2 linked regions of the Coturnix japonica genome follow. The protein of the gene in region 1 binds, or shares a complex with, the protein of each later gene. Links are inferred from orthologs where the notes say so. Each region holds a gene or a part of one and is shown on either strand. Other genes may lie near its edges. The genes, in order: GTF2E2 and POLR2D.

The links.
Region 2: GTF2E2 (region 1) and POLR2D share a complex: the UniProt entries of both Homo sapiens proteins name them as parts of the TBP-based Pol II pre-initiation complex. The link is inferred for Coturnix japonica from reciprocal best matches to the Homo sapiens genes GTF2E2 and POLR2D.

What each region holds. Positions count from the first base shown.
Region 1 is NC_029519.1:30,644,820-30,648,633, forward strand, and holds part of GTF2E2 (transcription initiation factor IIE subunit beta), read left to right. Parts: coding exon 1-68; intron 69-610; coding exon 611-718; intron 719-1,913; coding exon 1,914-2,096; intron 2,097-2,540; coding exon 2,541-2,634; intron 2,635-3,814. UniProt on the Homo sapiens protein: Recruits TFIIH to the initiation complex and stimulates the RNA polymerase II C-terminal domain kinase and DNA-dependent ATPase activities of TFIIH. Both TFIIH and TFIIE are required for promoter clearance by RNA polymerase.
Region 2 is NC_029524.1:1,664,128-1,668,205, reverse strand, and holds POLR2D (DNA-directed RNA polymerase II subunit RPB4), read right to left. Parts: upstream 2,369-4,078; 5' UTR 2,314-2,368; coding exon 2,241-2,313; intron 2,169-2,240; coding exon 1,988-2,168; intron 1,756-1,987; coding exon 1,660-1,755; intron 712-1,659; coding exon 633-711; 3' UTR 526-632; downstream 1-525. UniProt on the Homo sapiens protein: Core component of RNA polymerase II (Pol II), a DNA-dependent RNA polymerase which synthesizes mRNA precursors and many functional non-coding RNAs using the four ribonucleoside triphosphates as substrates.

The sequences.
Region 1 (3,814 bases):
TGAAAGCCCTTTCAGGAAGCTCTGGCTACAAGTTTGGAGTCCTTGCAAAAATAGTGAATTACATGAAGGTATGGTGGTTTCATGTAAAAGTATAATGCTTGGAAATGCTTTATTTTTTCTCTGTGATAGTAAGATGATGCTGAATGTTTCAGACTTTGAGATTTATTTACTGCACAAGACCAAGAATTTCAAGAAACTGGGCTGTTAAAATGTAAAATGCTGTGAGTAAACAAAAGGCCCATTATGTTGCTTCATCACTGGAATCCCAGTTATTCCAGGTCTGCTTAAAAAAAGGAGACTGGTTTTGTTTGCATTAGAACTTGGAATTTGAAGATGCTATCAGCTTTTAGGATTCATGAGCTGTTTATCAAAATAACTTGTAACTTGGTGCTTGACAGATAATTTTGTCATTTATCTCAGCTGATACAAACTGATTTTTCTCACATCTTTAGAGGCCCGAAGTTGGTACTCATATGCTCCGTGTGCTGTGTCTCTTGGTTTCACAGAAATTACTGTGTCATCACCTTCTGCCAGTTTTTTGTTACCCTGTGGTAATTGAGCTGCTGAATAAAGAACTACAGATCACTGATAGATCCTCTTTGTTTTCCAGACTCGGCACCAGCGTGGTGATACGCATCCATTAACTCTAGAAGAGATTTTGGATGAAACACAGCATTTAGATATTGGACTCAAACAGAAGCAGTGGTTAATGAATGAGGTAAAGAAAAGCTTTTGATTGGACACTGGAGGATAGTGATAAACTTGAACTGTATATGTTTATTTAATTACAGACTCTATAAATATTGAAGTTCTGCTTTTGAGAAGTTGCATTGATTCATGATTTGTCTTGTGCCTCCTGCTATTGAAATAACTGAAATGAAAGCTATTCTGACGTTTTTAAAGGGTCAATTAGAATTGCTGTTAGTAGAGCAAAGAGTAAGTTGTAATTGAGGTGAACTTCTTATTGCTAATCTTATACATGCAAACTGTTGTTTTTTTTAAAAGAAATTTCTTCTAAACAGAGTTCAAGCAGAAAGCCCTATCACTATCAAAGATTTCAAATTACTTAAGTGAAAGCCTTAAAACTCATACTCTCAGATCTTTGTTGTTTACTGAATTGAAGAATTCTGTTGTGAAATCTGTGTCTGGAATTGTGGGGTAATAGATCTCAAAGTTCCCCTGCTGGAGTTCATCAGTTTCATGATTTATGTTAGGTTTCATTCTTGCAGAGTCACTGCAACTTCCTGCTGTGTTCATCTTCGTGCTTAATTGATCCAAATGCCATCATGGCATTTCAAGACTAGTAAATCAACAAAACCCTGTATTTAGTATTTATACTTCAGCAATATCTGGTTTTGCTGATATTATACTTAGAATCCTTGCAACAAAGTAGTAAAGGTTGTTGATACATGCAGGGGGGTGGAGAAATCTCTGTAGTAAAACTAGGATGTTTTAAGTTATGTTTTTAATTAATACTAATATTCTGGAGAACAGAAAACTGGCAATGCTGCTATCATGAAAACTTGGCTCCACTGAAAGCTTTGAAGAGTAGCTCTAGGTTGTTTCCATAACAAATTAGAATATTGAGACTGAACCAAAAAGCTTATATAAGATTATCACTGCGTCAGTAATCCGTGATGGTACCGCGTGCACAGAAAAACTGATTTGGATCAGATCTTAAGTCGTTTCAATTGTCCATGAGACATCTTCACTCTGAAGCAGCACCATGAGAATGTTGTGCTGTATGTTGCAGTGAGTTATGCCCAGGCTGGATCTCAGATCCAAGGATTTAAAATTTGTTTCAAATTCAAACCTCCGAACTGTCAGCTATAACACATGGCTGACATACTGTAGCTATTGAAGTACTAGTTTGTTCTCTCTTTCAAGGTTTAAAATGTATATTTCTATTACAGGCTCTAGTCAATAATCCAAAAATAGAAGTTATAGATGGGAAGTTTGCTTTCAAACCCAAGTACAACCTGAAAGATAAAAAGGCTCTGCTCAGGCTCCTGGACAAGCATGACCAGCAAGGGCTGGGAGGAATCTTTTTAGAAGAAATAGAGGAAGGGCTGCCCAATGCACATAAAGCTATAAAGGTGAGTCACTCTTGTCTGGGCTTCAGCAAAACTCTTGGATAGGTTCTCAAAGGAGAGGTAAAAGCTAAGAGAGAATTTTCTGAGTTCTTTTTGTTCTTGTGGTGACTCAGAAGATCTGATTTAGTACCTTTTTCTGTACGTCGGCCTTTATGTTTAGAATTGACCTGACAGCACAGCTGTCAAAGCTTTCTTACAAAAGGTGCTTTATCTACTATGTTGCAACTGAAGGCACTTAATTGTGCTTTCATATCTTGATCTCAGCCCTCTATATCTTGTCTTTGCTTTATTAATGCATTTATTGATGGTGTCCACTTTGGTTGCATTTTGTTGCTTGTTATTTTGCTGCTCTCTGATTCATTGATCTCTTTGTAGAACAGGATCTGGGTCTGTTATTCTTAAAATAGAACTGATTTGGGGTCCTTTTTTTTTGCATTTGTTTTAAAGGCTTTAGGGGACCAAATTCTCTTTGTTACCCGCCCTGATAAGAGGCAACTTCTTTACTACAATGACAAGAGCTGTCATTTCTCTGTGGACGATGGTAAGTGTTTATTTACATCTGCATCCATGGTTTAAATTCAGCTTAGACAGCTGAATGTGAAGATAACAGGACTAGCAAACGAGTTCAGGGATAATAACCTCTGTTTTCTACTGAATGCATTGGTACATGGCACCAGGAACCCTACAATTCAAGTGTAGCTGAACAGAAAAGACTAAGAGTTGTCCATCTGTGGCTTAGATGACATCGAATATTTTGCTGCAGAAAAGCAGATGAAGAACAGTGGAATTTCTTTTGGGTTTGTGTGCTGCTTTTTGTCCCAATTTATTAGTCATGTACTTTTGTTGGTGAATGCAATGAGGAACCAGGAATTGAAGAAAAGGAACAAGCAGACTGGGAGGAGATGTGAGCAAAAGTACTGGGAAGAGTTGGTTTACGACTGGGAGGGCACCCTGAGTGTGGGCTGGTGCTGCTGTCTAGAGCTGGGAGTGGAACTCCAGAGCTTCAGCCTGTATTTTTTATCTTACAAATAGTGGTAAAGTCCTCTGACGTGAGTGTGCCTGTTGGCTGAAAGCAGCAAGAGGACAGGTTATACAATAATATATGTATTTACAGAAATTAGTTACGCCTGTCAGGGTGTGTTGCAATGATGACATCAGAGCCAATATCAGATATCTGTAAGTACAGAAGGGAGAATGCATTCCCTGGTAACAGACCTTATTTTAAATGGCTCAGGGACGCTGAATACTTCATGTTGATCACTTGTTGTTCCGTAACATGCCACATGAAGCCATATTCCAAAGCGTCACATGATAGTAAAAGAAGGAAAAAGTTGTCATCAGACCTTAAACAGCTGTATGTGCAAGGCCATAGAACAAAACGTAAAGCTCTTTTGTCTTAGAATAACTCAGAGGAACTCTTTATTTTAAACAGAATCAAGCAGCTTCTTTGTTCCATACCAGCCTTGGATTCTCATTTACTTAATAGCTTATTTCTGCAAAGATAATTTAGGAGATGTCACCTACAGCATTTAAAAGTATAAAGATAGTTTCAAAATATTATTTTAAACTGTAATTTCTTGGTTCTTTATAGTGGGAGTCTTAACAGTATATGAAATGAGGGATCGTAAGCCTCAATCGGCCTTTATTGGGGAGTTTGTATCTTCCCAAATGCCTACAAGTTTACCATTCATACTGTCAGTCTGTTCAGATTGTGTTTCTTG
Region 2 (4,078 bases), on another chromosome or scaffold:
CCGCGCACGGCGCAGCGCTGCCCCACCACAACACGGCGCTCACAGCCCACATCCCTCACCCCGCGGACAAGGCCGGGCCCGAAGCGCCGCGATCCCGCCCCGCTCCAACCTGAGCTCGGCCTGAGCTCGGCCTCCCTCCAGGGCCAAGGCCTAAAAATGGCGGAGCGAACCGCGCTCTCCGAGCCCCACTCCCGCCTCACACCGCACCCAGCCGAGCTCACCGTCCAGCCGGCGTCTCCCACCGCGCCCTCGCGGCCCCGCCGCTCGGCTCGGCTCGGCTCTTCGGCCCCGGAAGCCGCCGACGCCGCCTCACGATCCCCCGCCGCGGCCGGCCGCCATCTTCCTGCCCCCACCAGCGCCAGGGGCGGCGCATGCGCACCACGATAAGACGCTGAGCGGCAGGGAGGCCGCTCCACAGCCTGCGCATGCGCAATCGGAAGCCGCGCAGCCCTCAGAGCGTCCACCTTGTCCCAGTACAATCAGTGTATTGCAGAGATCTTCATAAATATGACAGAACACAGAAGCTTAATTAGAAATATCTTTTAATATCTTAGAAACATCTTTTTTAATTTACGCTAAGGGGAATAATACAAAACAACTGAGCGTATCAGGGCAGCTTTTGGTGCTCAGCTTCAGTACTGGAAGCTGCGTTTGGTCTGAATATCGTCAAGAATCTGCTGTAATTCCTCATCTTCAAACCGGCCCTCGAGGCTGCAAGGTAAGAACAAGGTGGGTACATTAAAGCTCGTAGGAACAGCCTCCCCTGTTCCCCTCTGAATTCATTTCACACCCATGCAGAGCCTCCTGTTTATGTGACAGAACTCCAACCTTCCCACAGCTCAGTGTGGAATGATTTCAAGTCATTGTACCAAAAGGTCAACCCGGGTGCAGGCCTCATGCTCATAAGCCAGTCCAGATTTGCTATGAAGAATGTGAGCAAAATACCTCAAGTTGTACCAATGGAGGTTTCAATTAGAAAGAATTTCTTCACAGAAGGGGTGGTGAGGTGTTGGAACAGGCTGAGCAGGGAAGTGCTGGTTGCCTTTTGTGGAGGTATTCAACAAACGTTTGTACAACTTAGAAGATTCTATGAAATCTTAGCATACAAGGGGAAAGCTGTACTTCAGATGAGTGTCTCATTCCTCCTCTATCTCAGGGTACGAGGTAACAAATGATGAGACGACACTGGAAGATCTCCCTGCCCCATCTGCACATTGTCCACCCAGCGGTTCAGAGGGACACTGCTGTTTGCTCCAACAACAACCAACAAACGCAGCTGGCTGGGCTGACAGCCCCAGTCTAAGCCACTGCCCAGAGATGTGCTGGAATCCCCACTTCTGGAGACATCCAAGGCCAGGCTCTGAGCAACCTGACCCAGCTGTGGGTGTCCCTGTTCACTGCAGGGGAGTTGGAGCAAATGGCCTTTAATGGTTCCTTCCAACTCCACGATTCCATCACTCTTAATCCAGTAAATGTTATCTAAAGTGCGTTAGGGATATTTAGATTGCTTCACTGTCAGATCAATGGGTAAGTGAAGAAAAACTGAGATGGAAGGTTTTCCCATCAGCAGAGCTGGATTATGGAGGAGGCATCTGTCCATGGGCAGCTTTACATCACAGGGCAGTACACCACACTCCTTTTAGGTATATAAATGCTCACCTGGGAATCAAAGCTTTGGCTTCCTCAGCAGTCTCAGGGCATAAATTGGCTAAACACGCCAGTTCAAACTTATGGAGCTTCTTCTGGAGCAGCAAGCTGTGAGGAAAGCCAACAACAAGACAGATAAGCAAAGCAGCATCAAGGCAAGCAGACAGCACACAACTCTGCTTTTTGACACTGCATCCAAGTTTATGAAGGAAGAAACATTACAACAGTGGATAGGTAAAAAGACAGACACAGCTGTGGGAAGCCCAGGAAACGTCAGTAAATCTCAGCTCCATCGAACAAGGCTGATGTTACGTATCACAGCCCAAAGCCTCGCACCCACCTGCGGACGCTGGCGATGGTCTCCCTGTTCTTGAAGCGGCTGAACCGCGCTGTGTAATTCAGGGTTTTCATGAAGACTTCGGACAGCTCCTGCTCATCCTCCGCGCTCTCGTTCTGCTGCTTGCGATGCTCCAGAAGCATATGGACCTCTGAGTTCAGCAGGGTTTCTGCCGTTTCGAATTCTACGTTGGAACAAGCAAACGTCAGTGTTTAAAACACGGATCCAAACAACAGCACGAGGTGTCGCCGCGCACCTTTGGGGAAGACGAGCTGCGAGGCGTCCTCCTCCACATCCGCAGTGCGCGGGTCGCTGCCGCCCGCCGCCATTGCTCACCCGGAACTGGAAGACATGGCGCCCGGAAGCGCAGCGCTGTGAGTGCCCGGCGCCCAGCAGAGGGAGCGGCGCCTCAGGTGGCTCCAGCTGCGCTGCACGGCGCTGTGAGCACCCAGCGCCTCCATCTTGATGCCTCTGAGGGAACGCAGCGAGTGATGGCTCCAGGAAACAACCCACAGCAGCATTACTTCTGGTGCAGTGTGGTAAATACATGGAGGTGTGTGTGGGAGGAGCATGGATGGCAATAGCAGAACACAATAGAAGTAAGGTTCCCTTCTTTGGCCTACTCAGGAATAATCCATAGACAGCTTAAAGCTTCAGGCAGGCTGGAAATGAGTGGGTTCGTCCTGGCACTGCTAGCAAAGTAGTGTTTGTAGTAGTACTTTCCCTTGGGAACACACATGAAAGTGCCCAACCAGCTTAAGACTTACAGTAATCATCTTAGGCTGCACAATGTCACCCCATGCCCTTAAAGAAATGCAGAAATAAATGGCTGGAGGATTCACTGTGAGGCCACTCCTGCTCTCCTAACGCACATCTGTGCCGGCTGCTGTGCTTCCTGCACCCTGCAGGTGGGTGAGCTCCACCAGGAGCTGCAGGATCAGATCTGAGCTCCTTAATGTTTGTTAACTCCAGACGAGCGTGGCAGAGAAGCGAACTAAAAACGAATTAGCTGAGTGGTACAAACAGAAAGACACTCAGGAAGATAGTGTGGAAATAGAACATCTAGTGAATGAGGCTATTTCAATTACGTTTACAAGAAAACAAGGAAATCATAGAATCATAGGCTGGCTTGGGTTGGAATGGACCTCAAGGATCATAAAGCTCCAACCCCTCCCCCCCCCACCACCACAGGCAGGGCCACCAACCTCCATATCTAATACTAGATGAGGCTGTCCAGGGCCACATCCACATGCCAGATTGATGAGAGAAGCCTTTTAAAATCATTTGGAATCCCAACAGCTTCTCACATACCCTTTCACCTCAGAACATCCTGATCTTCAAGCAGTAGGTAGCTTGCAGTCTTGGTTACAAATTTAACATCTGTTGTTCCCCAGTGATCTCTCCTACTTAAGTACATGAAAACTGAAAGGATTCGGGGAAAGCCACATACCTACAAGAGCATAAAGGTACAGCCAAGGAGGCGGTGGTGGTGGCTAACAGCTCCCTGTCACTGCTGTGCTTGGTTTCAGTCTCAGGTTTTAGACATGAGCTTCTGTTGCATAGTCCAGGGCAGAAAGTGTTGGTTGGGACATCAGTGGTTTATTAAATAGATACTCTACAGCAATTCCTTCCTTCCCTCTGAAAACAGACCCACTAGCAACTTGAGTGCAAAAAAACAGCTATTACACACACACACACACACACACACAAACAACAAAAACAAAACCCCTTTAGCTAAACATCTGTATAGTAAAACATAGGAACATGTAATAAATACATTCCATTATCAGCATTGCTGAATTTTGTAATGTCTTTCCTTCCAGCAGCTCTGGAGCTTTGTCGCAGTAATTATCTACCTAGTGGGCGTGCCACAGACTGACTTTTATTTAGAAAGCAGGTTTTGACTGAAGGTAATAAGATCAGAACACTGAGACCTTAATCTCTTCTTGTTGTCAGCAACATTTTTAACATGTGCTACATCAAAATCCATGAGCAAAATCCCCCACTTAGAAAAACTGGTGTCAAAATGGCCATTGTTGCACAAGATTTACATGTTTTTTTAATGTGTTCTTGAAGTATAAATATCCAAAGTTT